Lonchura striata: one gene and its partners. The protein of the gene in region 4 purifies or fractionates together with the protein of the main gene of each other region. This does not show direct contact. Links are inferred from orthologs where the notes say so. Each region holds a gene or a part of one and is shown on either strand. Other genes may lie near its edges.

Region 1 (7,674 bases), on a different chromosome or scaffold from region 4:
AAATAAATCATAAGCTTTTCTCTAATGCAAATTTTATGACAAGTGATCTTTATGCCATAATTTTGTGTTTACTATTCCAGTAGAGAATAAAAAAAAAAACAAACACCTAATCTGATAAAGTTCAAAAGTGATGGAGGTATGGAGGTCCGGGAAACACCTATTACAGACAGAGAACTCTGACAGAAGCAGGAAACACACATAAATGTAACAGACATTTTTATAAGTAATTTACAAAAATATTCTAAATCATACAAAGAATTAGGAGCTTCCTCCTGGAAAGGATCACTTGTAGTTCATAGCAATATTACTCATCAGGACGACAAAAAAACACAGGCAAAATCTAGGTATTTTTTCAGTTGTTATTGTGCACATTTTGACCTTAACAAGTCCAACAAAAACTGATGGAGATAGTAATTTCAATATATAGGGAGATAGTAATTTCAAACACACCTTTGTCACGAATATATGTAATATAGGTATGCAAGCTGAAGGACTTTTTCTCCTGTTAATTTTCAAGCCTCAGTTGTTGGTGAAAGCACTTTTCAAACTTGACAAGAAACGTTCATAGATTACTTCAGAAATGAACAAAAGATCTAAAACAGCTTTGAACACGCTCTTTTGGCACATGTTCCATCCAACACCACAGAAATACCAGTCTTAAAGAGAAATAATGTTTATAATATTTTTACTCTCACCTCTGGCAAGTCCACATATGCTGTATGATCCACACTAAATTTTAAAAGCCCACTATCCATACAGTATTTTTTCTTTCTATCACTGATATATATATATGTATATGTATAGAGAGAGAAAGACATAAAAACCTGCCTCGAGGCAAACCCATCCTTCTGACACACTACTTTTTTTCCTTAGAATCACAAAAGAACAAAAGAAACAAAGTCAGAGACAGTAATAGGGCAATTAGGTTCCCAAAGAGAAAGTGTGCCCGTATTTGCACAACAATAGTAACTTGCACATAGGAGACTACCCCACCCCGAACACGCAACTGGTACACTAGCAAAGGAATTAAATTCTGGTACAGAATTGTGTACCGTTTGGGTCTTAGGGTCTGTGGTTAAAACCACTTAACATTTCAGAAAGTTAAAAGAAAACCAGCGAAAATGCAAACGGAACAATGCAGTGTCACAGACCCCAGATCAATTCTACAATGAAAGCATGCAGAACACAGCGGAAGAAAACCCGACCAAACAAAAAAGAAAAATCCAGCAACTTTTAATCTTCAATTCTTCAGCTGGTTATTTACTTGCATATTCATATTCACATTAATATTCATAAAAATATATCCTAAAAAGAACAGCGTTAACCTAGCATTCGATAACTCCGAATATCAAACATATTAATCAGGTATCAAGAAAAAACAAATTCGGTACAATGTATGTAATCTGCTGACACTTTTACACTCCCTTTGCTTGACCATAACGCACGCTCAGGTTAAAAACCAAAACAAAAAACAATCCAAGCCAATCGTTAAACTGTAACTTCAGATCGAGTTTAGAAGAGCTGTAACTTTTCCAGCCGTGCGCAGTTCGTAGTTCCACCATTATAAATTTAAGAGGGGAGGAGACAAGGCAAGAAACTCCATTTCTGCACCGTGCACGCAAGGAAGAGCCGCGGCGGAGCACCCGCGACCCGGGAGCGGCGGGGGGCAAGGGCGGGCGCTCGCCGCCTCGGCGGCAGCCCCGCCGCTCTGCCCCGGCGCTCGGGCCCTGCGGGCGGGCGGCGCGCAGGCCTCGGCGCCGGCCGCCCGCCGCCTCCCCCGCCAAGGCGCCGCGGCGGGCGCGCACAACCGGCAGGGCCCCGTTTTCCCCCCTCCAGCCCTTCTGGAAAGTTTTCTCCCCGGCCCACAAGCTGTAAAGCGTCCCTGCCTGGAAATGCGGCCCCGCTGCTGCCTGTCCCCGCCCCTCCATGGAGCAGCGGGTGCGCTGCTGGCGGCGCTGCCCGCGCACGGCCCCGTACCTCGGCCGCAGGCGGGCGGGCGGGCGGGCGAGCAGCCGGGTCATGCCTCAGGGCTGGGCCGGGCCCGTCTCCCCGCCTCTCCTTCCCTCCGCCACCATGTCACGCCGACCAAACATGTCTGTGCGCCTGTGTGTGGCGGCGGTGACTTCCTGATCCGCCGCCGCTGGTACAGGCGGAGGGACGGGAAAGGCCACCCGCCCTCCTATCCTCCCCCCGCCGCCGCCTCCCGCCCCTGCCCCGCTGCGGCCCGCGGACGGGCTCCGCTGCCCCCGGCCCCGCCCGGCAGCTGGCTGCAGCAGCGCTCTGCCGCCCACCCCCGCCTCCGGCTGGGCACAGAACTTTTCCAGGTGCCAAACACCGCTGTCCCCTCTCACGACACGGGGGCCGGCGACCCGCAGCTACCTGAGCATCCGCGCGCGTTTGCATCCTGGCTCCCGCCCGGCCGGGTTAAAAAAAATAAATTTCCGCGCACACCGGAAATAAAACGCTTTTTTGCTTGGCAGGCGATTCCAAAATTGTAAGCGCATGTTTTGTGCTACTCTGCTTGGAGGTGGGGAGGAGGAGGGGGGTGAATTTCTGCAGGGAAAACGGGAGGGGTACGACGACATGCAAGCTATTTTGGGAAGTAAACCGCGACACCTTTCCAGCAGGAGTGACTGCACAGTTAAAAACAAGAGACCGAAAAGCAACAGGAGCCGCAGCCCTGTTGGGCTAAAGTCCAAGCCCCCGCTTCTTCCCCCTCCCCGGTGTGTGCGATGTTTGTGACAGGCACGCAGCGACGATCCGGATCATGGCCTCCCTGGCTCTGCCGGGGAATGCCGCTACTCTCCTCGCAGGCGAGACCGCTCCCCCCTGCACCATGTTCCTCCCCCCCCATGCCTCCCCACTTCCCCTTGCTCGGCTGGGTCTGAGCCAGCGTGTGCCACGGCGGAGGAACAGCCCCAGCGCACCGCGCTCTGCTGCCTCCGGACGCCCTGAACTTCACCCCGCGACCCCCGGCAGCTGCAGCGGAGCCGCCCCCGGCCCGTCCGTGCGGGCCGTCGCTCCCCAAGGATCTATTTGTGGCCGCTTCGCCCGCAGCCCGTGACACGCTCGCTGGGCGGCAGGACCGAGAGTGCCGCTGACTCACGAGTCAGCCACCGGCGACTCCGTGGGGGTTCTGTCGCTCCCGCTCCGGAGATCCGCATCGTGATTATTCCAGAATAATACCGGATCAAAACTTTCTTCTCCCCACCCACTGGGGGATATAAATATTCGGGAGGGCCCGGCACGGGGGAAGGTGGGGAGAGGAAGCAGGTGGCACGGCGGCGGCTGGGACCGGCGGTGCCGTGCGCAGGGAAGGGCAGCGATGGGGAGAGGGAAGGTGGGCACGGAGCGAGCCGGCACAGCCGGCGACAATAAAGGACCGTGCCCGGGCACGGGGAGCTGACGGGGTTGGACCGAGTCGCAAGTTGTATTTACCTTCCGCCCGGGCGGAGCGCCGTGCTGACTGTCGCTCCTCTCCCCCCTCAGTGAGTCACCCGAGTCCAGAACCGGAGCGAGGGACTAGATCACGAACATGACTTCATTGATGACAGCCATTCCCTCCTCTTCCTAAACTCCTGCCCCTCCTCCGGCCCCCCCTTCGCCTTCGCCACTGCTCAGACAGCGGTGTTGCCATTGGTCCGCCAGGCAGGGAGTGCCCGCCCCCTTGCGTAGAAGGGGCGGCTCTATTGGCCCGGGGAGCCGTCGCTCACGCGGGAGGCCGGGGGGGCGGAGGTGTGCAGGCGCGCGCGGGGCGGGGTGCGCCGCGCTCCGCGGCGCCGTGCGCAGGGCGAGCGCGGCGCTGCGCGCGGGCCGCACGGCCGCGGCAGCCCGCGCTCCCCGCGGCGGCGCCGCCGCGCCCCTCCCGGCCCGCCTCCGCGGCGCGGGGAGAGGGGCAGGACCTCTTTGCCTACGAGGGCGGCACTCGCGGCAGTAGTTTGGGGAAGAGGTGAAGAAGGTGCTGGAAGTGCGCTGTGCCTCTGCCCCGCTGGAGGGGCGGGGAGGAGCCAGCCTGACGGGCGTGGGATCAGCTGTGTCTGGCTGTTGGGTGTCTGTGTGTGTGCGTGTGCGTGTGCGTGCCCAGGGCGGGTGTCTCTCTCCCCTTAACATAAAAACACGTGTGTGGGGAAAGCTTAGAGCCCATCCCCTCTCTCCGTAGCAGAGGTTCTGTCGTGGACGACGGCGGGCTGCCGAGAGCGTTGCAGCGGACCCGGCCTGCCGGCAGGCTGCGGCTGTCCGCGGCCGCTCGCGGGGCAGGGCCGGGCGGCTGCGGAGGCACCGGCGGCGAGAGCGAACCCGGGGGAAGAGCCGCGGAGCAGCTCTTGTTTCTGCGCGATTGGGAGGGGAAATAGTGCATTGTGTTGCTTGCTTCCGTTTGAGTAGGTTTTTTAAAGTTGGTTTGGAAGGACACTTTCCAGTTCTGTATCCTAGTGCTGCATATTTTTTGGTTTTTTGGGTGTTTTTTTTTGGTTTGTTTTGTTTTTGGGGTTTTCTTTCTTTGGTTGTTTTTTTTCCTGTTTTGTTTTTTTTTTTTTTTTTGTTTTTTTTGGTTTTTGTTTTTTTTTTTTTGGTTTTTGTTTTTTTTTAATGCTTCAGGTGGTTTACGTGGTTTGCAGCAGGGGCTGCAGAGCTCCCATGTTTTTTGTACAAGCTGTACCTGTTCATGTAACAGGCAACTAAGTACTTCATTAAAATAATGGGCCTACCTGTCTGAGGTTTTTTTTTTTTCTTGAACACGGGTTGTAGAGGTAAAAAAAAAAAAAAAATGCAGCCAGATTACTGTACGTGGTGTTAGAGGTAGTTACATTTTTTTAAGATTATGTCACATGGGCAGTATTTGCCATTCTGCAAGTAAAATTTCACTTCGTATGGAGTAAGAATGTTCATAGGAATCTAAGTAAAATCAGTAGCTACTACAGACGCTCAGGTGACCGAGTTTAAGTGAAGTTCCTGAGCTGTGGTCAGGTGGAGTAGTTAAAGACCTGAAATAGTGCTGGGAGCACCAAATGCATCTTATGGTCTTAAAGTGACAGATATTGTTTACACGGTGTTTAGCGTGGAGCTCTTTTTATTCAAATCACCAATTTGCAATGCTGGCAATACAATACGAATTACTACTGTTCCTGTAGTTTTCCAGTTTAATCGTCTTCATTTTATTTTTTTTTATGTAAATGGTCAAAATGCTGAAAATAGGTGTGTAAGAATCAGTGCTAACTGGATAATGCAAAGTATCAATAAATTAAAAAGTTTAAAAGGCTGTATTTTCAGTTCACCATTGTCATTGCAAAATATTTACTTGGGAACAAAATCAAAGAAGTTGAATCATTCAAATCTTAATATACAAAATAACTTATGTCATTATGTAAATCTTTTGATTGACTTGTAATTTAAAACTTTGTTTTTAGCTTTGTCTTAAGCTGCAAACTGGCGTCTAAGAGATAAAAGAATGTATTTAACATTCTTGGAACATTATGCTAATGAAAATGAAAGGGGTAAAGAGATGCTTTCTCATTATAATTTTTTTTCTTAATACTGAAACTCTCATTAGGCAGTCATTTACGCTTGTCGTTTGTTTTTCTTCCTCCATTCCCTAGTGTAAATCTGAGGACTGTTTGCCTTTTCTCTCTGCCAAAGAGACAACAAACATTAAATAATGGAGGGGAAGCTTTCTTTCAAAACAGCTCGACTGTTTGCTGGATTCAGCAACACTCAAAACATTCTAAACCAGGTCAGGCCATTCTTTTTGTTAGAAAGTATACAGAGAAGAAAAATAAATAAAAAGTTAATCTTTTAGGCAAAAGAAGAAAGGTTCTCTTGACTCTGGAATAGATACAGCTATATTTAGTTAATGATTATGTTTATTTTGGGAAGGTTGCAGCAGCCAATTCCATTTTGAGAGCATGAACATGCCTGTTGCTGGTGTCAGTCTGAATGCTTTTTCTTTTTGTGTTTTGATGAAGTACCATTGAATCTCATTGTAATCTGTCTGGAGTGGGTGGGAAACATGAGAGTTTTTTGTCAAGTGAGGCATGTTCACCTGATACAAAAATCCTAATTGGAAGGGTCAGTAAGGCTTCCCTATATGAGCCTTAAGTAGCTGAAGCTTTGTTTATAATGAATATGTTGATGATGAATAGTCACATGCTATAGGATAAATTTGTTTTCCCCCATTAATTTATCTAATATAACAAAAGGAAGAAAAGATGAGGGTCTTTAACTTGAATTAAATGGATATGGCCATTAATGGTAAAATAGCATGTAAAATTTTCAGACTAGATGAGGTACCACTACAAAAAGAGATATTTCTTTGAGTAGCTAGATATGTTGCTGTGGAACTAAAGCTTTTTTATTTGAAGAATTATACCAACACAGTAAGGCTGTTGAGAAACTGATGTATCGGTGGTACTCTTGAAGGGACACTTCAACCAAAAAGAGGTCATTACCACCAGGGAGTTGCAATTGTTTACAGCAACCTCACCATTACCACCTTGAAACCCCTGCTGTAACAGTTAGGGCTGCTATTTCTGTGTTTGCTATCACTTGTCTGCCAGAGACAATTGCACTCACTGCAACAGAAATAGCAGAAAAAATTATATTTTAGTATTTCAGCCGGTTCTTAGCAGAATCCAGCTGCTTTAGCCTAGGTGGCTGTGAAAAATGGCTTAAGCTAGAACATTCCAAGAAGACAGCTTTATGCTCAGGCTTCTGCTTCAAAATGTTCTTCAGTGTGTCCAGGGAAATCATAAAGAAGTGAACTTGGCCATCCACAAGTTCATGGGCTCTGCTGGGTTCCTTCATACTTATGAATGCTGAAAGAACGAGTAGACATGATTGCTCTCAGATCTTTGAAAGGTCATGGCAGTCAGGAGAGGTGTCACAATACTAGAGGACAGCAAGTACCACCCTAGTCTTCAAAGGCGGCAAGAAGGAGATTCTGGGATCTACAGGCCGATCGGTCTCATCTTAATCCTGGAAAAGGTAATGAAACGTTTCATCCTGGAGGCCACCTCCACATACATGGTGGACACAAAGATGATGAAGAGTAGTCAGTGTGCTTAACTAACCTGATTGCCCTCTATGCTGAGACAATTACCTGGGTGGATGAGAGGGAAGAGCAGTAGATGTTTACCTGGACTTTGAGCAAGAGTTTTGACACTGTCCTCTGGTGTTACTCTCATAGGCAAGCTCAGGAGTATGGGCTGGATGAGTGGACAGTGAGGTGCCAGTTCTCACTGCAACCTCACTGTCCGACCCAAATTTCCTGAGCTTGAACTGCAGATCCCCGAGGGTTGTAATCAGTGGCACAGAATCTCATTGCTGGCCTGTCTCTAGTGGTGTCCTCAAGGGCTCAGTACTGGTCCAGTATTGTTTAACTTGTCAGTCATGGGTAGATGCCTCCTCAGCAAGTTCACTGACAACACAAAGCTGGAAGGGAGCGGCCAGTACCCAGGAGAGCTGTGCAACCCTTTAGAAAGACTTCAGCAGATTGAAGAGGTGGGCAGAGAGGAACTGTCTGAAATTCAACATGTCCAGTTCTGGGCTCCTCAGGGCAAGAGAGGCATGTAGCTCCTGAAGCATGTTCAGCTGAGGGCAGCATAGGTGGGGTCTGGAGCATTCCAGCTGGGACAGGGCCTATTCAGTCTGGAGAAGAGAAGACTGAGAGAAGATCACATC
Region 2 (7,676 bases), on a different chromosome or scaffold from region 4:
ACACAGAACCTCCCTGGACCCCAGCTGCACACACAGACCCTCCCTGGATCCCAGCTGCACACACAGAACCTCCCTGGATCCCAGCTGCACACACAGAACCTTCCCTGGATCTGAGCTGCACACACAGAACCTCCCTGGACCCCAGCTGCACACACAGACCCTCCCTGGATCCCAGCTGCATGCACAGAACCTTCCCTGGATCTGAGCTGCACACACAGACCCTCCCTGGATCCCAGCTGCACACACAGACCCTCCCTGGATCTGAGCTGCACACACAGAACCCTCCCTGGATCCCAGCTAAAACCCCTCCCAAACTACCTTGGAAAGAGTTTTCAGAGACAACAAATAACTGCTTTGGGACAGCCCATTTTAATATGAGGGATTATTGAGAAAGGAACTGCCTGAACAATGCACAATGTCCTAGATAAATGAGCATTGAGATAATAAAAAGAGAATTGCCCAGTTTACTTCTACACTGTGAATTTCTAAGTTACTATGGTGACATCAAGGTGTCCATTACAGCCTTTCCAAATTACTTTGAACAAGGGATCGAGGGACAGGACACAGGGAATGGCTTCCCACTGCCAGAAGGCAGGGATGGGTGGGATATTGGGAAGGAATTCCTGCCCGGGAGGGTGGGCAGGCCCTGGCACAGGGTGCCCAGAGCAGCTGTGGCTGCCCCTGGATCCCTGGCAGTGTCATGGACAGGGCTGGGAGCAGCCTGGGACAGTGGAAGGTGTCCCTGCCATGGCAGGGGGTGGAATTGGATGGGCTTTAAGGCCCCTTCCCACCCAAACCATTCCAGGATCTGTGACTTTGTTCCATGTAAGTCTCTCAGATGCCCCAGGACTCCAAACCCACGGCATGAGCCCATTCCCAGCTCTCAGGGAAGCAAGGCTCCACCATCCCTACTGCACCCGTACTGCCTGGGATGGGGCTGGCCACCTCCTGCATCCCTTCATGCACAGAACACCACAAACCCACTTCCAGACACTCCACACACAAACTGGGAGCAGGAGGGAGCCTGGAATAAATCTGCTCAGTACAATACCAATAATTTAATTTTCTATCATTGTCTTTGGTGCCTGTCAATGAGTTTTTCAAGGTCCAGTGTGAGTCTTCCACACTACTACTGAAACCTCCTTTGCTCTAAATTGTACTCTGAAGATACAGAGAGCTCCTCCACAGCTGTTGTACTCTAGAAACACAGAGAACTCTTCAATATTTAAGTCTTGTCTAATCCAGAGACAAAATGAGCAGCTCTGTAAATGCAACTCTCCAACCCTCCCTGCCCCTCAGGACCTCTGGATCCCTGACTGAGCTCGGTGGTGCTCTGGGATTATCTCCAGCTGGTCCCCAGTGTCCCTGGAGCTGGACACACCAACTGCTGCTGACAGCTTCACCACTGAGATGTACAAACATCTATTTTTAAGAGTATAGACTGGACAAAAGCCAGTTAAAATCACCACGTACTTCTCTGGGAGGAGCCACGCACCTACAGCAGGATGAAAACAGAACAAGTTGAACCAGAGTCCATTTCCAGCACATCCAAAAGGGAGCCAGCCCTTCCCTCCTGGAGTGTTAAGGCTTGATCCTTGAGCACTAGTATCAGTTTTCTTGTTTCCTCAAACCAAAATTACTTTTCATTTTTTAAAAGGATCGTCACAGCAACATTCCAAAACTCACTCACCCTGTAAAGTCTCCTTAGCCCAACTCTAATTACCTTTCAGATTCGCGAGAAATAAATACCTATTTTAGATAACCAGTTTGAAAGGAGGGGCTTTCCCTTGGCTCCCATTGCTGCACCACACAGAGCCAGCACAGAGCCAGCCTGGCCGGGGATTTCGAGCCACAGCAAATCCTTTCCGTGCTCAGCAGGGCACCTGGGCCCTTCCCGGAGCAGCGATTTCCCGGGATCATCCCGGGGCTGCTCGGCCAGGGCAGGGAAAGGCGAAACCACAGCTGCTCCAGGGCGTGGGACAGCACAGAACCGCAAGCGGAACAAGCCAAACTGCACGAGTATTCCGTAACATTTCCCCGTCAACACAAAGAGCTCGAGCGGCCGCTGCAAACGGCGCCCCACGCCCCGAGCCCAGCTGGAAGGACTGGAAAAACACACCCGAGCCCGGGCGGCTCCCACCCCAGGGCGCTGCAGCTCGGATTCCCAGGTCGGATCGCCCTTCTCGGATTCTCCGCCTCACAAAGAAGCCAAGCGCCAGCCGGGGCTGCTCCAGGGGCGGTGACAGCGGGGCTGCCCCAACCCGGGGAACGGCGGCGAGGAGGCGGGCCGGGGCCGCGCGGCTTCCCCGGGCACCGCCGCGCGGCGGAGCCGCTGCCAAGCCACGCCGGCCATCCCCCCCGGCTGCGGACCGAAATGGAGTTAGAAAGTCAGCACGCTTTAAAATTAAAACGCATAAAGAAAGCGAAGCAGCCGGGGCGTGCGAGGAGGAAGAGGAGCCCGCGGGCAGCAACGACGCTGCCGCAAGCGAGCCCGGGGCACGGCGCGGGGTTCAGCGCGGCTCCCAAAGCTCCCGCTGCGGTTTCCTCCCTTTGCCCAGCACTGCCGGCACCGCCGGGGCGCGGCTGAAGCGAAACCCGGCGGGGCCGGGACCTGCCCGCGCAGGAAAGTCGCTGCCGGGGCGAGCGGGCACCGGCCGGGCCCCGCGGGCAGCGGGGACGTCCCGGGGCCAGCGGGGCTGCCCCAAGCGCGGCCCCGGGCACCGGCCGGCGCCGAGGGAACGGAAATGTGCCCGGCGCTGCCGCCGAGCCGGCCCCGCGCCCGCCGCGGCTCACAAAGAGCGGAGCAAAGCTGCGGCCCCCCCCCGTCCCGTCCGCCGCCCGCCCGGTGCCCTCCGCCCCCGCCGGGCCGCACCTTCTTGTAGTGCTTCCCCAGCCACACGCGGACCGAGTCGAGCTGGGACACGGTGTCGGGGCTCTCCCAGAACTTGCCGGCAGGGCCGCCGTCCTTGCGGCGCGCCGCGGCCAGCGCGGGGCCGGGCCCGCCCGCCGGGGCCGCCGCGGGGCCGCTCCCGGGGCCTCCGCCCGCCGCCAGCGCCGCCGCCGCCATTGTCCCCGCGCGCCCCGCGCCGCGCATGCGCCGCGCCCGCGCCCCGCCCACCCCGGCAGCGCGCCCGCCGCCGGAGCGGGAGCGCGCTCGGGGACGCGCTCGGGGGGTCGGAACGGGAGCGCGCCCTCGGCACCGGCAAGGGGGTGCTCCGGGCCCCGAACTCCCCGTCCGTGCCCTCGGTACCTCTCTGGTCTGCTCAGGCCCCGCCTGGAGACCCCGAGCCCCAATTAAGGAGTAAATTGGGTGCTGACATAATTACCTGCAGGTGTCTGCACCAAGTCTTCACTGTTTGGGTGCCTTTATCTTTCCACAACCAGAGCCCTGGAACGGGTCATTATGAAGCAATTCCCCCCAATTTTCCTTTATAGAAACCACTTAGTTTTGAGTGTCTAGTAATGTTTTATTTGTGAATTGAACATAACAGAGAAAAAATTTAACAAACCAAAACCATGATAAACCATTTAAAAATACATATTTTAGTTCCAACATTATTAAATAGAGCACCAAGAGGTCCTTCATTAAAATCACAATCCCCAGTATAAAACTGTCCCTTGCATTTACAGTAGTTTGTAAATGTTCCTCGTCCCTGAACACTCCAAAGCAGAAATAAACACCTGCAGGAAAGGAAACCTCTGGAGATACAGGGAACAATAAACCCAGCAAACATCCTGCAATCTGAACTTCACCATTTCAGAACTGCCATTCTCAAAAGGCAGCACAATGAGCCCAGCCAACAATTCCAGAGGGTCTGTCTTGGGAGAGCCATAAAATCTCATCCCATCGCATCCCTGATTCCAGAGGGTCTGGCTTGGGAGAGCCATAAAATTTCATCCCATCGCAGCCCTGCCGTGGCGGGGACACGGAGCACTCGCTCCCTTCCCCTGTCCCGGCTGCTCCAGCCCCAATGGGACACTGGCCTGGGACACTGCCGGGGATCCAGGGGCAGCCACGGGTGCTCTGAGCAGCTCCCCGGTTGGGATCGGGATCGGGGCTGGTCCTTCCCCAGGATCGGGATCGGGGCCGGGATCAGGATCAGGGCCGGGATCGGGGCTGGGATCGGGATTGGGGCCGGGATCGGGATCGGGATCAGGACTGGGGCCAGGGCCGGGGCCAGGATCGGGGCTGGGATTGGGATCGGGGCTGGGATCAGGATCGGGGCCAGGATCGGGACCGGGATTGGGATCGGGGCTAGGATTAGGATTGGGGCTGGGATCAGGGCTGGCCAGGTCCATCCCCGGGATCGGAATCGGGGCCGGGGCCGGGATTGGAGCTGGGATCGGGATTGGGGCCAGGATCGGGGCTGGCACGGTCCATCCCCGGGATTGGGATCAGGGCCGGAATCGGGATCGGGATTGGGGCCGGGATCGGGGCTGGGATCGGGATCAGGGCCGGGGCCGGCCGGGTCCATCACCAGGATTGGGATCAGGGCCGGGATCGGGATTGGGGCCGGGATCGTGACCGGTGCCGGGATCGGGGCTGGCCGGGTCCATCCCCGGGATCAGGATCGGAATCGGGATCGGGGCCGGGATCGGGACCGGGATCGGGATCGGGATCGGGCCTCAGACCGGGATCGGGACCAGGACCGGGACCGGGACCGGGATCGGGCCTCAGACCGAACGGGTCCCACGGCGGGGCCGAGGCTACAGCGCCCCCAGAGGCCGCGCCGCCCATTGGCTCTGCCGTTGCCATGGGAACAACCCTCGCCGCCCATTGGCTCTGCCGTTGCCATGGGGACATCCCTCACCGCCCATTGGCTGTGCCGTTGCCATGGGGACAGACCCCGCCCCGCGCCCACGAGGGGCATCGCGCCGCGGCGCCGCCGGCCGCGGGGAACGCGCGGGCCGCCTCAGTTCCGGGGAGAGCGGAAGTGAAGTGCGCCGCGCCGGAAGCGCGCGCGGGTGCTGCCGGGAGCTGTAGTCCCGAGGGGCGGCCCGGCGGCGGCAGTCGCGGTGCGGAGGTCGGTGCTGGGCGGGCGGGGGTCGGACCGCGACCCCTGCGGAGAACCGGGGGGGCCGCGGGGGCGGCACGGCGGCGGGAGGCGGGGGACGAGCGGGGGATGGCGCCGAGCAGCGCGGGCTGAGGCGGGGAGGGCCGTGCGGGGCCGCGGCCTGTGCGGGCGGGGCGGCGCGGGCGGGGATGCTCGGCGGCACCGGGGATGCTCGGCGGCCCCGGGGATGCTCGGGAGGCCTCGGGGATGCTCGGGGAGGCTCCGGGGCACCGCTCCCCGCGGGCCCTGGGCGAGGGGTCGGCGGGGGGAGCCCCGGGAAGCGGCCGCGGAGCGCGGCTGTGCCCGGAGCTCCGTCCCTGCCCGGGGCAGGCTCCGCTCCGCTCCGCTCGGAGCTGCTCTGCCGCTGCCCTTCCCGCTCCCGCCTCTCCGCGCCCGCCTGCGGCTCGTCCCCGCCGGCCCCGTGGAGCCCCGGGGCCGCGGGAAGGGTCGCTCCGGGTCAGCGGTTTGGCCCCGGCGCCCGGGGCCGCTCGGAGCCCGGTGCCACCGGCAGCGCGTCCTTGCCGCCGCTCAGCAGCGAGGGTCCTGCGGGGCTGGCCGGGAGGAAAGGATTCCTGTAGGGAAAGGTTTCCTGCAGCCCTCCGCCGCTCCTTCGGCCCAAAGCACGGAAAGTACAGGATAAATCACGGCTGCGAGCGGCGGGCTGGCGCTGCCCGGAGCCCGGGCAGGCAATCCTTGGGCTGGATGTGCCGACAGCAGGATTTCTCCTTTGTTCTCCTCACAAAGCACTCGGGGCTCTGCCCCTTCCAACACCGCTGGACTATCCCAGCAGCCAATAATCGGAATTGCTGTGATTTTCCCTGCGTCTCTCTCGGCGATGTGGTTTTTCCTCATGTAGTTGTTTTCCAGTGGATCAAGGGACCCCAGCAATTCCTTCCCATCCTTTGGGATTTTATCTGACAATGTTCCGTGCCGCTTTGCCTGGTTTCACTCTTTGCCTTCGCAGCAGGAGCACTGAGTCTGTTCCTAACAAACTTTTAGTGTTTCTTGTGCCACTCGGGGCTCTGGAGTTTGCTGGGTGTGAGGCACAGGGCTCCACACTCCTGTGGATTCTCATTCCAGCTGTGCCATTGCCTGTCCAGGCCATTTCTTCACAAATCCAGTGTCCTCGGAGCTCCCACATCTCTCCTGTCATCAGACAAAATCCATTTTGAGTCTTGCAGTATCCCTTTCCATCTCTGTGTTTCCCTGCGGGCTGGAGCAGCTGCCACAGTTGGACACTTATTATTTGGGATTAGGATCTGCAGGAGCAAACCCTGGGATTTCCCCCAGGCTGCTGGATGTGCTAAAAGTGATTCCCAGGTTGCGCTCCTGCTGTCCAGATTCAGCAGATCCTTTATTCTCCTCCCTGTCCTGCCCCACTCCCACCCAGTCTGATTCTTACTGGTTCCCAGTAAGGCTCCCAGCCCAGCTGGGATCTGCAGCCAGGATCCTACCAACAGCTGGGTTGGAATCTTGCTTATCCAAGGGGATCTCAGTTGTTCACCTTGGAGCCTCATCCCCGGAGGGTTCTCCATTTTTTATTTCTTTGTTCTTGAGCAGAAAAGACCACTCTCATCAACTTTGTATTGCATTTACCCTTTTGGGTTGGAAGAGAGTGTAAGGATCATCCAGCAAGGCCGTGGTCAGGCTGTTCCCAATGTCCAGCTTGGTCTTGGACACTTCAGGGATGCAGGGAACACCCACAGCTTCTCTGGGAATTACATCCCAGCCCCTCCCCACCCTCCCAGCCAGCAATTGCTTCCCAATCTCCCATCCATCCCTGCCCTCTCTCAGCTCAAAGGCATTTTTGGAAGAACCCTTTTCCCCACCCCAGCATGGCTGGGGCATTCCTTGTTCCTGCTCCCTGAATTCCCACTAGGGAACGCTGCAGTTTACCTGCCCATCCTGTCCCAGGAGCTGAGGGAGGGATTCCCTGGATGATTCCCTGGGGTACCCCCAAAAACAGCTGCCCCTCTTTGGTCAGAATGTGCAGGGGGATGTGGCCAGTGCCCTGGGAGATGCATTCCCTGCAGCATTCCCTGTCCCACTCCTGGTTTCCTCTCTGCAGCACTTCTGGAGCATTCAGGGATTGGCTCCTTTCTGTCAGAGCAATACTGGACTCACCCAACTCATCAAAATCCCCTTGGCTTTAGGGCAGTTTAAGCCAGGCTGGGGTGATCCCCATGGAAGGGGACACAGGCTCCAGCCTTGGCAATCTGGCTCCAGAACCACAAAAAACCTCCCCGACTTTGTTCCCTGCAGTGATTTATCACACCAGGGACATTCCCCTCTGAGAATCACCACAGCACACGTGGGGTTGAATTCTTGCCAAGTCAATTAATCTGGTTTTATTGATTTCATCCTTGGAAAAGGCCAGGTGTGGCCCTGGCAGCCAGGGCAGGTTGGTATCCGTGTGTCCGTGGGGAGGAACCCATGGACCATGGACAAGGTGTCACATCCAGAGATGTGGCCAGAAAATGGGCTGGGTTTATTTGAAGCCTTTTTTTTTTTTTGCTACTGAAGTAATTTTGTCTTACTGAAAGCAGAAGTGAATAATTGGAATGATAATTGCAGGCTATTAATTGCATGCTCAGGAAGTCATTGATGGGGACAGTCAATGTC
Region 3 (7,516 bases), on a different chromosome or scaffold from region 4:
TGACTTGTGTTAAATTGGATTTTACTATCTTGGTTTTCCAGGTATCTTTGGTGTGTAGATTTTTGTTGTTCTTGTTTTGGGGTTTTTTTAATAGCTGTATGGATAATTACAGTATGTGTTATCTACTCTGGATTAGAACCACAATAATTACAGGAAAGTCAATTGTAATTAACTTAGTGCAGGTAAGCAAACAGCTGCCTCAGGGTAGCAGTGTGGGTAAGCTAAATTTCCACATGATCAACTTAGAACTGCACAGGTCCCTGTACGTTACTTCTGGAACCCAGCAAGAAATGTTGGGGTCACGTGCCCTGAGAAGAAGATAGAATTTGCTTGGAGATATCTAAAAATACACTGTAAATCCACACTGGTGCAAATGAGAATAGAACCTGGTTGATCGCTGAGCCAAACACAAAAACCAGAGCAGAGTGAATTAACTGCCTGTTGCTGGAAAGTATCAGGTCCTATTGCAGTCTTCCTCACTTCTTCCTCACCCAGCCACCACGGAAGAGCTGAACATTTCCCAGAGTCTCAGGGTGAAATCCTGGCCCCAGTGAAATCAATAGGACTTTTTCTGTTGACCTCAATGGGGCCAGGATTTCACCCATAGTTATTCAAGATGGGGAAATTATTTGGAACAATTTGTTATTCAGAAAGACCTTGGGAAATTTATGTAATTCTCTTCAGAAAGCCCCTGCTCATGAGTCACATTTAAAGTACTGATACAGTTTAATCCTATAATCTCAGAAAGCTAGCAGTTACTCTTTCCCAGCAAGTCAGAAATGGCCCTATTAATTTCCAGCTGAAGCCCTCCCAGTATTATTTGCCATTTGCCAACATTCAACCATTCAATTAATTTTTAAACAGGCTAATTCCAGATGACACTGAACCCCTCACTGCCAGCAGAAATTTCAGTTATTTTCACTGACTCAGTGTACTTGAATGCTGGTGATGGCTTCATTCAACAAAGTTAATTCTGTACAATTCAATCCATCCAGGAGTCTTAAAGTAACAGTAAAACTGTTTTTCCAACCTCCCAAATAATTAGTTGGGCTAATAATTTTCAAGCTCTGCTGCTTTATTCAATTATTTTTCATTTTAGGTGAACTTTTAATTAAGGTCAGCAGCAGCACCAGAGGAAACCAAGAATGTGCCTGAGAAATTGTGTTAATTGTGGATTTCTAGTAGTTAGTGTAAGTGTACCCCAAACACCACCAAAACCCTACTATAATGGCTTCAGGTTCTCTCACCCACCTGTCATTAGTGTGCAAAAAAGGAGTGGTCAGGTGTCCAGAGCAGGAGAAAGTGTCCTTGACCCTAGGAATTTGCTGCTCTCCTGCCCGGACAGCTCACTGCCTTCCCAATCATCCTGAAATGCACCTCTAATTGCTCCAGGAAGGTAGATGCTTTACAGTTTCTGGGGAACAAATCTGTTTTCAGAAATGTTTTACAAATAGGAAAATTCAATTTTACTATTAAAAAAAAAAAAATGCAACAAGTTGCCCTTCCTTGTCCCAGCTTTTGTACAAATTGTCCCTCTGTCCAAAGGCCATGCAGAGCACTATCTCATTTCCTCTGGCTTTGCGAAGGCTGGGGAAACAGTAGGAATAAGAATATCAAGCCTTAGAGTGTGATTCCGTCGTGGCCTTTCTGATACAATCTCTGTTTACTGTGTTAGACCACGCACATGTTCTGCAGTTACTGCCACTGGAGGTGCTGAACACTTCTCAGCCCTGCACTGCTGCCGGCTCAGCTTGTTCCCGGGCTGAGTTAATGCTTCAGTGCTTTAGCCTTACTTTTGAAATTCTCAACAGTTTTACTATTCGTGGCAATATGAATAGTAAACCTCCCAATTCAGGTAGGTTCAAACAACTCTATTCATTCGTTCTCCCCCTGCTTTTTGTTTGTTGTTTTAAAGATGATTCTTTTAATCTGCAATGACTTTTTACATCTCATCTGCCAAGATTTTAAAATCCAAACAGGCTTCCTAGCCGTGCACTTCCATTAATTAAGTATATGCTTGCTTAATTTTAATATTGAAAGTGACTACTTTCAGTTTTTTCTTGCTTAACAGCAGATGGCTGACTATGTTTCTTGGTTTTATTTCTTCATACAAATTCCTTTTCCTCTGGTGCTGATGCAATAAACCTTGATAACCACTGAGGTTAATCTTAAACAGCCTTAAGAGCAATTACAGTTCACAACCTCTGTGCACGCTAGTTGACCTTAAGCTTTCTGACATCGCACATCGCTCCCAAACCATTTTCTGCTGCCTTCCAGCTTCTCAAATGTTGTTACCAGGAGGAAAATCGATTTCCACCAGGAAACTCATTCTCTGAAAGAAGCCGTCCGTTGTGTCACGCCTGATTTGCTTAGGCAACAGTTCAGCAACTGATCTACTTCACGTCAAGACACCGGGACAGCAAGGAGAGTTGGTATCCCCCGGCTGTCACCAGAAGTTCCCGGTCGGTTTACGGGAACATCAGCGACGACTCTACGCGCGGCAGCGCCGGTTTGTCGCCGCCTGGGCTGTCCCGCCGCATCTCCCCGTCCCGGTGCCCGCGGTGCCGCCGCCGGCCGCCCGCAGCGCCGGGCGCGGCCGCTCCGCTCGGGCATCCCGCGGCTCCCGGGAGCCGGGACCGTGCCCGCCGCGGCCGCCACCGCGCGGTGCCGAGCGGCGCTGCCGGCCCGGGGACACCGGGGCTGGCCGGGCACCCCCGGCGCTCACATCTGGCGGCAGCCCGGGCAGGGGTTCCCCCAGATGTGAGCGCCGGCACGGCACCGAGGGGCTCCGGCGGAGCTCGGCGGGGCCGGGGGCTCTCCCGGAGCTCACGGCCGGCGGCGGAACCACCGCGCCCGACTTCGCCCGGGGCGGCGAAACTTTTTTCCGGCGAAGCAGCGCGGGTCCCCCGGCGGGCATCCATCCCTCCGCGGCGGGACAGCCCTCCCGGAGCTCAGCCCCTCGTCCCGCCGGCACGGGCAGTCCCGGCCGCTCCTCTCCTGCTCCCACCTACCTTCCTGCCGCCGCCGCCGCCGTCCGGGCAGGAGGGAAGGGGCTCCGCAGCCCCGCCGCGCCCGCGCTGCTCCGCCGCCTCCCGCGGGAGCGGCTCCCTCGGCTCCCCGCGCCTCTGCCGCTCGCCCGGGTTGCATCACCCCCCTTTTATAGCCGAGCGGGCAGCGCTGGTATTTACTCTGGCGGCGAGTCCCTGGCTGATGTCATGCTATTAATAGCCTCTCCGAAAGAGAGGGAGGAGGGAAGCGGGCCGTGGCGGTGATGCAAGGCTTCCCCGCCGGCACGGCACGGCACGGCACGGCACGGCACGGAACGACACCACCACCGCGCCGAGCCGAGCCGGGCCGAGCAGCATCCCTCGGCACCCCGACAGACCCCTTCTCCTTCCGTCTCCACCGTTCTCCCCGTCATTTATTTATTTATTTCTATTAAGACTCCGAGAGTTTCTTTCTCCGGGCTATTTTACTTCTGACAATAAATCAAAGTCCCTCTAGCGACAAAAAAAAAAAAAAAAAAAAAAAAAAAAAAAAAAAAAAACAAACAAAAAAAACTGGTAATTGTGTATTTTTCGAAGGGACTGACCTTTCTCTAGAGGAAAAAAAACTGTTCATGACCCCCCCCCACTCCCCGGTTTCTCTCATTCTCCCTCCTCCTCCCCTCGCTACTTTAGATGACAGCTAAAAGTTCCGTTCACATAAAGGAGAAAGCTTCGTTTTTACTCTGAGAAGAGTAAATTAATAAAATTATAGACAGCTAAAAATAACACTGTTTGGGGGTTTTGTTTGTTTTGTTAGGGTATTTTTTAAAACTTTTCTTAAAACACAGCAGCATGCGATTTCCTTATAATCTCATGAAAAACCAGGGAATTCCTACAGCAGAGAGGGAAATACAGTTGTGGCTGTGGTAAAGGGGTTTTTGTTTAGTTCTTTTTTTTCCCCCTCTGGTTTGTTAACAGACAGAAATTACCTTCTAACAGCCTTCAAAGTGCTAGAAAATATGATGTTTAAAAAACAAACAAAAAAAATCCAAAACAAAAACCAAAACATCAAAGAAAACATTTAGCTGGGGGAGACACAGAAAGCTTACAAAGACAAATGCATGCAATCATCCAGTACTATAATAATTAATATATAATATATGCAAACTTGTTATTAAGCCAGTCTTCAAGCCTCTGCACTTGACTTGAAAAGACCAGGACATTTCATGCTTGAGTACATTGTATTGTAAGTAAACCAACATGAAATGGATACCTTAATATATAAGATGCATATCCCAATCAAGTGCTCCAAATTGTTGATTAATTTTATAATGTTCAATATATCAGTTTTGATAATAGGTAATAAGTCTTGAGTGGTATATTCTGGTATATTTTTATTACTTGGAGCATTTTGTGAAGAATACAAATTAGTAGTAGAATAGTAGTTTACAGAATTAGTAGAATAGAGACTAGTAGTTTGAAAGTCCTTCTGTATCTCCCTTCTGTGTGCTTGTGATGGTCTGGATATATATATGTGTGTGTATATATATATAGAAAGATAGATGATATAGATATATATATAGATATAGATGATTGATATAGATATAGATGATATAGATATAGATATAGATATAGATGATATAGATATAGATAGATATAATATTGGCCACATAGTCTGGAGTAATAAATTTAGTTTTTTTTAATGTCCAAGTGCCAGTAACTTTGCAAAATTAACACTCCTATTCCGCATTTAGTTGCCTGCTCTTGAAAGAAAAATCCTGATCTGATGGGAAAGGAAGGAGTCTGGGGTAGTGACGTGGGCTTCCCTCCTGTGGAAGGTGCAGTCGCAGCCTGTTCTCTGCAAACAAAGAAGTGCATTTTGTCAGGGCAGCAGTGAACTCCTCTGACCTACCTGGCAGCACTCCATTTACAGCTCCTGTGAGCTGCAAGCTTTTTTTCTTTTTCACTCACCTATAGAGAAATCATTCTTAGCTCTATCAAAACATAGTTATTGCTGCATTTTTATTAATCTAGATAAATCAATGTCAAGTATAATGCCAGGCAAAAACTTTCAGAAGGGTCTAGAGAAAGCTTTTCAGTTCACCTTGTTACAGCCTAATAAGTTCTTTTTACTTCAGAGGCACAATTTTATAATTCATGCTGTGCTCAAGGACAGCTGGCACTTTTTCTCAAGCCTAGAAGAAAAAAAAATTCCTCTCAAGCAGAAGCCAAATGTGGAAAATTTCTTCCCAAAAGATAGTTGGTTGGAAAATTTTAAGCACTGTGGAAATGTGTTAACAACATTGGTTTTAGTGGCCAAGAACAGGTGTCTGCTGCAATTATGACAGAAATTTATCAACTGTCTGTCCTTATTTATTTAGGCAGCTGTATCAGAAGTGGGAATGTATTTAAAGTATTTTCAGCTAAACAGAGCAGTGTTGCAGAATAATGGAAAAAAAAAAAAAGCAGTTCTCCCCTTCCGTGTGGGTAGAAGTACCTTGGAAATCCAAGCATTGTTATCCAGTTGTGGATGGTCACTGGCATCTACTTGTTTGCTACACAATGCTGGTCCCATTACTTCCCATGAGCTGCAGCCAGCACTAAAATCTGACATCAAACCAGTTGTGTTCATTCTTGAACTTGTCCTGAAGTGAGCCAGCTCCTCCCTGCAAAGCAAACAGAGAAATGTTCCTGTGCGCATTTGAGATTAGGCCACTGAAACATGTCCTGGCTTGAGTCTTCAGTGAAAAAAGAAAATGAAACCACAGTGAAAAATAAACCCAGCTCCACTGTGTTGTATAGGTTTTATCCAGATTCCTTTTGAAACCAAAGTTAAGCTAATCTCAGTTGGATCATACCCCAGTTAAAAAAAAAAAAAAAAAAAAAAAGTAAAATTTAAGACTATCAGGAAGTTAAAGTAACACCCAGTACAGCCACCAGATACTCTGATGTTCTTGCCAGTTTAATTTTCCATCTCATAAAATATCTTTCATTTGCCTCCCCATGAACATTTACCGGTCCTTTTCCAATCCATGTCTCTCTTTCATCACAAACTGCAGGGGACATATCCCCTGAAACAGCATTTTTTTGACAGAGGTAACATCCACGATCTTAACTGCTGTTTCTCTTAAGCCAGGTACAGCAGCTCATCACTCAGACTGGTGTGTACTGGGTTCTTTTCCCTCTGCAGAGAAATCAGGCTGAATACCACCTCTGGCGTGGTCCTTGCAGCCCTCCAGCAATCTCCAGTGTGCAGAAAAGAATTCTTTCCTTTATCTCTTTCTGACCAAGTCCTGCCTCCATATCACTTGGCACTACTTCACACACTGTGGATATTGGATTAAAATTAAAATATGGCTGTCTCATTATTAAAAAGAGCTACAGACATACAGAGGAACAGACCCCCAGTCTCACAGCACAAACTTTCTCTTGTCCTAACATTTATGCTACTGCAGGACATCAGTCAGAGCAACACAAAAAAAATCTCCATGTCCCATCCAGATCATGTGCTAATTTCTGGTCACACAGTTCCATTAAACCTGTTCAGTCTGATGAAAATATAATGAGATTTAAATAAATCAAATGTGTAGTGATAACATGAGTAAAAACTGCCTCTCTGTGTGTTTTGTGGTTTGAATTGTATAAAGTTTTGAAATTACTGTAACCCTGACAAGACAAAACTTTCAATGCACAGCACATATAAGAGAAACAGATTTCCATAATTCAGAGTTATCATGTGGTAAAATCTGCACAAAATCAGGTTTTCTGACTCTGCCTGAAATATTACTCTCTACTTCTGTGATGGGAACTAACCTTCATAATCATTTTTGCTATGTGTTACATTCAGGTCTGAATCTATGTGGCAGGACTCCTCTGTTCACCAAAACATGCAGGAATTTTGAGATAATTTTCCCATCTCACTGTACAAACACCAGGGGTGAAACTCGGGACTAGTTTTTCCAGCATGTAGGTTGTTACTGCTGGAACTATGGGAGCAATCAGCAGCAGAAGCAGCATCAGCCACCTTCACCCTGCCCAGAGTTTTTCAGCAGCTGTCTGGGGACTCTTTGAGCATCTGTGGGCTACTTCCATAGGTTTCTCCAAAAAGGGAATAAAAAACATCCAAGCCTACAGGAGCAAGGGCAAAATTCACTCTGGAAGAGCTGGATCTCTATGGACTGAAAAGGTCCAAAAATGGAAGTTAAAACCACAGGGTTAGAAAACTGACTTTCACTGAGACTGTATGGCAAACGCTGCCACTCTCTTATATTTAATACCTCTCAAGCAGATGAACAGATAAATATATGTATTGTGGAGGGAAATAGGTGCTGTGTTTTAACAGCTTTTATTCTTTAACACTGAAGATAAAATTATTTTGCTCTTTGTTTTTCTCTCCACAGCTTATCTTTCTTTCCTTACTGCCTTCTCCATCAATAGCCATTTACTCTTAATTTATTCTCTCCTTTAAAAATCCTATTCCCTGCTCTCTTTTGCTTTGTTTCTTAAGTTACATTTCCCATTTCTTTAAA
Region 4 (7,076 bases):
CTTAGAAAAATCCCTGTCCCTGATCACAGCATTGAGCTAGAATCAGCTGGAATTTCAACCCTGTGTTTAATCTAACTTTAAACATGCCTTCAAAATAAAACAAGCTACTTTTTTTTAACCTAGTCATAAAGTTTATTAAAATTGTTCATTAATGCTTCAAATGTAGCAAGAATGCATAGATCCCAAAATATACATATGTATTTTCTTATAGAAATAGATTATTCTTTATAATAAAAAAACTGTAGGAACATCTTTAACAGATTACTCAATCCATGACTGACAGTTACACGAGATTGCATCATGTACACAGCATTCCCAGCCATGCTTAAAGGATTGCATCACTTTGCCCTTGCTCTCCTCTCGCTCTTTTAAATAACCCAGCGCCCAGCAGAGCCCGCCCGGGCCGGGGCCGGGGTCCCCCCGCCCGCCCCGCTGCAGCCCCGGCCCCGCTCAGACCCCGCGCGGCGGCGGAGCCTTCCGCCAACATGTCGATAGAGACAAAAAAAAAAAACAAAAATCCAACAACAACAACAACAACGCAAATGAAAACCAAAGCCGCCCGCCCGCCGCGGGCTCTCGGGCCCTCGCCCCGGCCCCGGAGCGCGGAGCGGGGCCGGGAAGAAGCGGCGGCTCCGCTGCCCCGCCGCCCGGCCGGGGGTCAGCAGCGCGGCGAGGAGGCGAGCAGGGGCTCGGGCAGCTGTTTGAACAAGTTCCTGAGGGTGCTCAGCTCCCGGGAGAGCTGCTCCACCTTCTTCTGCAGCCGCTCGTTCTCGGCCGTCAGTTCCAAGACTTTATGCTGAGTCTCCAGGTTGCGCATTTTGGCTTTGTCGCGGCTCTTGCGCACCGCGATGTTGTTCCTCTCCCGGCGGAGCTTGTACTCGTCGCTGTGCTTGTCCACGCACTTCTTGGGCTTGTTCTTGCCCGCCGGGGCGGCGGAGTAGCCCCCGCCGGCGGCGGCGGACTTGGAGGACTCGGAGGGGTTGGGGGTGCCGGGGGGGCTGGAGGAGGATGAGGTGGACAGGTTCCCGCTGCTGCCGCTCGGCACCGACTGGTAACCCAGGTAGGAGCGCACGGTGCTGCCGTAGGGCGAGGACATGCCCCCCGGTCCCGGCCCCGCGCCCCCTTCTTCCTTCCGGGGCCCTTTGCAAGAGTCCAGGGTCTCGAAGACCGGCTCCACTTTGGTTTCCACGATCTGGGGCGGGAAGCAGCCCTGCAGCCCCCCCGGCTTGTGGCTCTGGCTGGCGCAGGGGTGGCCGTGCCGGGCGAGGCTGATGTAGGTGTAGTCGGGCTTCTTGCCGCCGCCGCTGCCTTTATAGTCCTCGGCGAAGAGATCGGAAAGGAAATCTTGGCCGGCGCCGCTGCTGCACGGAGGCTCAAAGTTGCCCCCTGCTGCTGCCGCGGGAGGCGGCGGCTGCGACGCCAAGGGCTCCAGGTACGGGCTGAAGTCGATGGCTCGCTCGTGGTCCCCGACGGTGAGCTCGGTCATGGAGCGGCCCCCGGCCGCCCGCGGGTGCAGCTTGTTGAGAGCAGCCAGACAGTCCGCCTCGTAATAGAAATTAGCCACTTCCATGGATTTAAAGGCGGGCGGCTGGATGGGGAGGCATGCTGCGTCCCAGGCCACCAGGCGTTGCATGAAAGCAAAGGGGGATGCGGGGAGGAGGAAACGACGCAGGGGACCCCCCCCGGCAGAGGCTCAAGCTGCCGCCGTCAGGGTGGGGGGCTCCAGACCCTGCCGCGGTCTCTGGCCTGGGCACGGCCCCGCGGCGCTGCCCGGCCGGGCTGGATCAGTCCCTGCGGCGCGCCGGGGCTTCACCGCTCCGGCAGCTGCGGCGGGGGCTGGCGCGTCTCCTCCGGACCATCTGGTTCTGGGTCCCGTGTCCTAAAGTCTCTGACTTAGGAAAGTTCCTTTCCCCAGTTATTTATAGGGGCGGTGGATCCCATAGCAACAGGCGCGTCACCGCCTGGCCGCCTGCCACTCCGCACGCTCGGCGCTGCCGGTCCCGGCCCCGGAGGAGGCTCCCGGGGCGGGCGCGCCGGTGCCGAGCGGTGCCCGCCGGGCCGCCCACAGTGCACCGGGCCGGGCCGGAGGGAGGGGCCGGGCTGCGGGCCCGCAGGTGCGGGAGGTCGGGGCTGCCGCGGCCAGGGCCGGCCGGGACGGCAGCGGGCAGCGGGCAGGGCAGCGGGCGGCCCCGGGGACAGCGTGTGCCGGGCGCTGCCGCTGCCCCGTGCCCGCCCGGGCTCTGCCGGGGCCCGCACAGCGAGGGGCTGGCAGTGCCCGGGGCTGGCAGTGCCCGGGGCTGGGCACAGATCGCTCCGCTTCCCTAGGGGAAGTCAAGGCAAGAGAGATTTTTCCAAGTTCTTTTGGCAAAGAAGGGGGAAAGCTGCACACCAAAGCCGGATCCCGTTACTCGGCGTCCCGGGCTCGCTTTGGCGAATCCCACTGGCACAGAAGTGCCACAGGGACGTGCCCAGAGCCGCTGGGCAGCGGCGAGCCCGGGGCCGAGCGATGGGGCTGGAGCAGGGCACTGCCCCGGCCTCCTCCTGGCGGCCGCAGCACCGGAGCCCGGCCAAGCCAGCGCTGCCTCCCGGCGCTTCCAGCACCCATGGGGGCCCTAGCGTTTGTCTTGGCATATTTGCTCTGCACGATGTGGGGCAACTGTCAGGGCACCCACGGGAGCCGGGAGCAGGGAACCGGCTCTGGAGCCAAAGGAGACGGAATGGGGGCCAGAGGAGAGTGAGGTTCGTGCATCAGAGGGTGGAATCCAAAAGTTTTGAGATTTGCGGGGTAAGTTTGGGAAGGAAGACTGAATCCCGATGTCCGTTTTAATTAAAGACACCCACCTTGGGAATCAAACTTATATTTTCACTCTCTTACTCCCACATTTACCTGTCTACAAGCTGATGATTCATGCCCAGAATAAAGGACATTAATTTAAAACAAAACATATAATTAAAGGAAGTAGGAGTGTCCTCCCTCAGTAAAGAAGACCTAGCACTGCAGGGAAAATGACACTGCCTCTTAGAATAATGTGAAGCAATCCTGCGGTGTGGGAAATATTGTAACGTTAAGCCAGAGGAACAGGTATTGCATTATATGATTCAAACAGTCAACTGTTCTTAATGTTCAAACCTCAGAACTCTGAAAAGAGGAAGAATTTAAGAATCAGTCAGTGGATCATCAGACTTTTTCTTTCTCTTTTTTTTTTATTTTTCTTTTCACGTTTTAATAGGATTTATTTGTTTGTTTCCATAACAAAAGCTCCCTAACAGGTTTTCAGGCTTCAAATATTTCTAGTTCCATCTTTATCTACCAAGTTAATCTTTGGTGAATGCACTAGAGATTAAGTTGGAGCTGGGCCTGGCCAGAGAGCTGGGTCTGGAGATTGTAGTTGGAGCCCATACCTTCATAAATACAAACATCTGTATTGGGTGCAAATACTGGCAAGCTGCAGTGAGCCAGGGCTTGTTCTTCTGGCTGTTTACTCCCTCATCCTGTGCCTTTATCCTGCATTCTGATCTGGCAGTTACATCCAGTGGCTGCCCTAACTGGCCCTTCCAACCGAACTCTTAAAAACCAGTCTGGTGTTTCCTACCCCAAACCGTCCCAGGGCCCCAGGGCAGGAGCCCTCCTGGGCACTGACCCGCTGCAGGCACAGCTGGTCTGCCTTGGCATCGCCCCGACGTGTCCACAGCTCGCCGTGGTCCTCAGCTGAAGCCGAATGCTAAAGCTGCTCGGTGAAGTTCTTGAAGAGATTTTCACGACGGTTTTGGGGATCTGCGTTTGCCCTCTTCAGATTTCTGCCCTGCCCTCGGCTGCTGTGCAGCAGAAAGCTGTATTCCTGCCGGGGTTGACCTTCCCTGACAAAAGGCAGTGAAACGTCCGCGCCGCTGCCGCGCGGAGCAGATCCTGCCGGCCCACGCTGAGTAATCCTGCAGTCACCCCACCGCGCCAGCCGGGCGGCAATCCAGGCCGCTGCCCAGCCTGTCCCCTCCTTCCCTCTCCCCCTCACCTCCCTGCTCTGCCTGGATCCCTTTCAACTTCCTCCAGCTCACCTCAAATCCCAGCATCCACTCTCCTGGGGCCAACGTCCGCTCCCAGCTTCTCATGGGAACCTTGTTGGCGGGACTAACCACGGATCCAAAACCCCAGCGTTCGGCAAGCAGGTTTGGGGCTAACTCTGGTCTCTTTTAAATTATTTCTGCACTTGTCACAACAAATGCACGGCCACGAGTGGGGATTTGGAAATGGGAGCAGGTGCAGAACGAGGCTCACACCGCAGGACTGAGCCGAGGTCTGGGCACACAGGGCTCCGTGCCTGTGAGTGCCTGGCTCGGCCTTGCCAGATGTGCAGAGACTGCTAATAATTGTCCTGAAAATTGGCCTGAAAAGCTCCTCAGAGGTGCTTTAGGCAGGGAGATGCAGACATTCCTGGTTAAGGGACCCAGGCACTGGCAGCAGCCCTTCAGCTTGTCTCCCAGCAGAGCAATTTTCATTATAAAAGCAGCACTTCTGTGAAAAGCACCTTCCTTCTAGTGATTTCATAATTTCTTTTTTTTTTCAGAACTATTCAGCTAAGGGAGGAGACAGCAAAAGTCCCAAATTACTTAGTAAGAATATAACATTTTTGAGAAAAAATTCTGATGCAATAGCATCCAGGTTCCTCTACATTCATATGTAAAACAATCCAGACAAAGGGAGGGGAACAGAAGGAGACCAGCATGGTGAAAAGGTGGAGGGAAGAATCTCATCCTCACTGCTCATCTCTGTCATGAATTAAACTCTGCTCTCTCTTTTTGTATTGTGGAAGCCTCAACTTTGCAGCTCAGACCCACAGTAAAGCATCGCAGAGGAATTTTCTTCCTGGAAATTGTCTTCTTTTCCAGGATTTCTTGCAAACTTTCCAGTTCACACACTCCAGGTCTACAGCAGCTGCCTCTGGAACGACACCAGCTTTGGGGAGATGCTGTGAGTTTAGTGGGGATGGCTCAGACACTGGAGTGTTTATCAGAAGGTCTCTGGAAAGAGCCTGGCTGACATTTCTGATGTTTCTTGCTCAGTTTTGCCCCATTTATTATTCCCCTGGCAGTCGCTCTCAGCAGGTCAGTAAGATCAGAGCTGCCTGGTGCTGGAGCTGCTCGTGCAGCAGCAGAGGGGCAGAGCAGGGCAGCGGGCAGGAGGGCGATGCCAGCAGCCGGCAGCCACAGCAGTGCCTGAGGTGCTGCGGGAGGGGTTGGAGGTGAGGAGGGGAACGGGAGGGACCCCAGAGCAGCGTCCCTGCAAACAAGCACGGAAGGTCTCTGGGGGGTAGGAGGGGACCTTGCCTAAAAGAACAGTGTTGCAATAAAGGCTGTAGAATAGAGAAGTAACATTGAAATTTATTTCTGAGCATGTTGAGCCCTTTTTTCCCTTCTGCCTAGCCCCAGGTCTCTCTTTATTCAGCTGCACACCATATGCCAACAGCAACTCAGCAGCTGCACCTGGCAGAGCACAGGTTTGAAACCATTGCTCTTCACTTGCTGTTCTCTGCTGTAAAACAACAGCCCTTGATGAATGCCAGGCAGGGACAATGTCTCAGCTCAAGGGAGAGGCTGGCTCTCCATCTGTCTGCCCAGCTCAGGCCAGGCTCGAGACTTTGCTTCATTTGAACACGAAAAGGGATTGCCACAGCTTTGCCCTGCTGCCCCGTGGCTGGTGCCGCGCTGGCAGTCCCAGGGGCAGGCTGTGTCTGTGGCCTCCTTCTCTTCTTTTGTTACAGACCGGGGTCCTGCCCCCAGCTCCCTCACCCTGTTCCCGTGGGACACGGTGATGGGCTGGGACATGCTTTTTGTTGGTCTTCTGCTGATTTTCTCTCACCTCTGACCCAGCAGGCTTGGCCTTTGCAGCGCTGCGTTGCTCAATCCCCTTTATCTCCACGCTGCTCTTTGCCCCAGCGGGTGAGTGGAGACGACACCTGGAGACTGACTCCAGTGGGACAACATCAGCCAAATGCCCTCCCGACCAGACTGAAAACTTTCCAGAGCAAACCTGAGGTCAGAGCAGCCACCCTGTGGCGCTGAGAAACAAGGAAAGGAGGAAGAGTCAGGACACCAAGGCCCATGGAAGCACAGGCCACAATCTCCATCCTGCATGGCAAAGTCCCTGCAGGAGCTGTCTGTTGGAAGGATGTGGGCTGGCAGTCTGAGCAGAGACAGTGAGAGGTGGCTGTATTTTATGAGTAGCCCGTTTCCTTGTGCTCCATTAAAATGGCAGAGAAGTTGCTGTCCACTAAGTTTCAAAAGTTCTCTGTAATTGCCTGACATTTCCTGGGTAATTGCAGCCTCCTGCTTTGATGAATTTGTTACAGGTCATGCATTTATGACATCTGGAGTATCCAAGCTTTCAAAAGATCCATCAAGAGAGATGAATTCTACCCTTCCAGGGTACCCTACAGAGTGTCAGAAGTTCCTAGTAACAGGACTTGGTAATTCATTTAGGAAATTTCTAAAAGAGAACTCTTCTGCAGTCCTGAGGCTGTGGGACAGACAGCCTGAACTCCATGGGGTGTATGGCAAGGGGCAACATAAAACAAGGGAAGTCTGAGAGGGGGTGACAGGGGAAGTGGCTTAGGGAAAGAAATAGAAGATTTTTTTTCTTTATTAAAAGCATTAGAAGTCCGTGCTCTAGACTGTGCAAATACTTGTTTTCCATCTGCTCTCATCCTGTGTCGAGCAGCACGGGGAAAGCGGGGCTGCCAGGGAATCGGTCCGGGCTTGTTGTTTGTGAGTCCTGGCACTCGGAAGAGCCCCGGGGCTGGTCTGTGCCACCCGGCAGCTGGCAGTGGGGACGGGCTGCCAGGCGGGGGAACCGCGCTGTTCCGTGCTCCGCACGCCGCGCTCCTCGGCCCCTGCCATCTCCCCACCTTTGCATTTTCGGCCTTGGACGCGAGCCGTGGGAGTGGCTGCTCCAGCTCCGCCACCCACTGACACTTTCCCATGCCAGAGAGAGTCCAGCGAGGAACCGCAGCCGGTTCCTGCTCCCCCGTGCCCCGGGGCTCGGGCGGACCGAGCGGCGGGCGGAGCGGGCAGGTGCGGGGCCG

What was found.
Region 1: the proteins of CEBPB (region 4) and SMARCA2 purify together in Homo sapiens (affinity purification with western blotting; 5 studies listed by BioGRID and IntAct, with this or other methods). This does not show direct contact. The link is inferred for Lonchura striata from reciprocal best matches to the Homo sapiens genes CEBPB and SMARCA2.
Region 2: the proteins of CEBPB (region 4) and SMARCC1 purify together in Homo sapiens (affinity purification with western blotting; 3 studies listed by BioGRID, with this or other methods). This does not show direct contact. The link is inferred for Lonchura striata from reciprocal best matches to the Homo sapiens genes CEBPB and SMARCC1.
Region 3: the proteins of CEBPB (region 4) and ATF3 purify together in Homo sapiens (affinity purification with western blotting; 3 studies listed by BioGRID and IntAct, with this or other methods). This does not show direct contact. The link is inferred for Lonchura striata from reciprocal best matches to the Homo sapiens genes CEBPB and ATF3.

The regions. Positions count from the first base shown.
Region 1 is NC_134642.1:16,216,220-16,223,893, reverse strand, and holds the start of SMARCA2 (SWI/SNF-related matrix-associated actin-dependent regulator of chromatin subfamily A member 2), read right to left. Parts: upstream 3,610-7,674; 5' UTR 3,439-3,609; intron 2,443-3,438; exon of another isoform or gene 2,380-2,442; intron 2,076-2,379; exon of another isoform or gene 1,978-2,075; intron 1-1,977. UniProt on the Homo sapiens protein: ATPase involved in transcriptional activation and repression of select genes by chromatin remodeling (alteration of DNA-nucleosome topology).
Region 2 is NC_134603.1:156,475,406-156,483,081, reverse strand, and holds the start of SMARCC1 (SWI/SNF complex subunit SMARCC1), read right to left. Parts: upstream 3,119-7,676; 5' UTR 3,095-3,118; coding exon 2,873-3,094; intron 1-2,872. UniProt on the Homo sapiens protein: Involved in transcriptional activation and repression of select genes by chromatin remodeling (alteration of DNA-nucleosome topology).
Region 3 is NC_134605.1:11,855,108-11,862,623, forward strand, and holds the start of ATF3 (cyclic AMP-dependent transcription factor ATF-3), read right to left. Parts: upstream 3,186-7,516; 5' UTR 3,012-3,185; intron 1-3,011.
Region 4 is NC_134619.1:966,216-973,291, reverse strand, and holds CEBPB (CCAAT/enhancer-binding protein beta), read right to left. Parts: upstream 1,907-7,076; 5' UTR 1,634-1,906; coding exon 659-1,633; 3' UTR 644-658; downstream 1-643. UniProt on the Homo sapiens protein: Important transcription factor regulating the expression of genes involved in immune and inflammatory responses. Also plays a significant role in adipogenesis, as well as in the gluconeogenic pathway, liver regeneration, and hematopoiesis.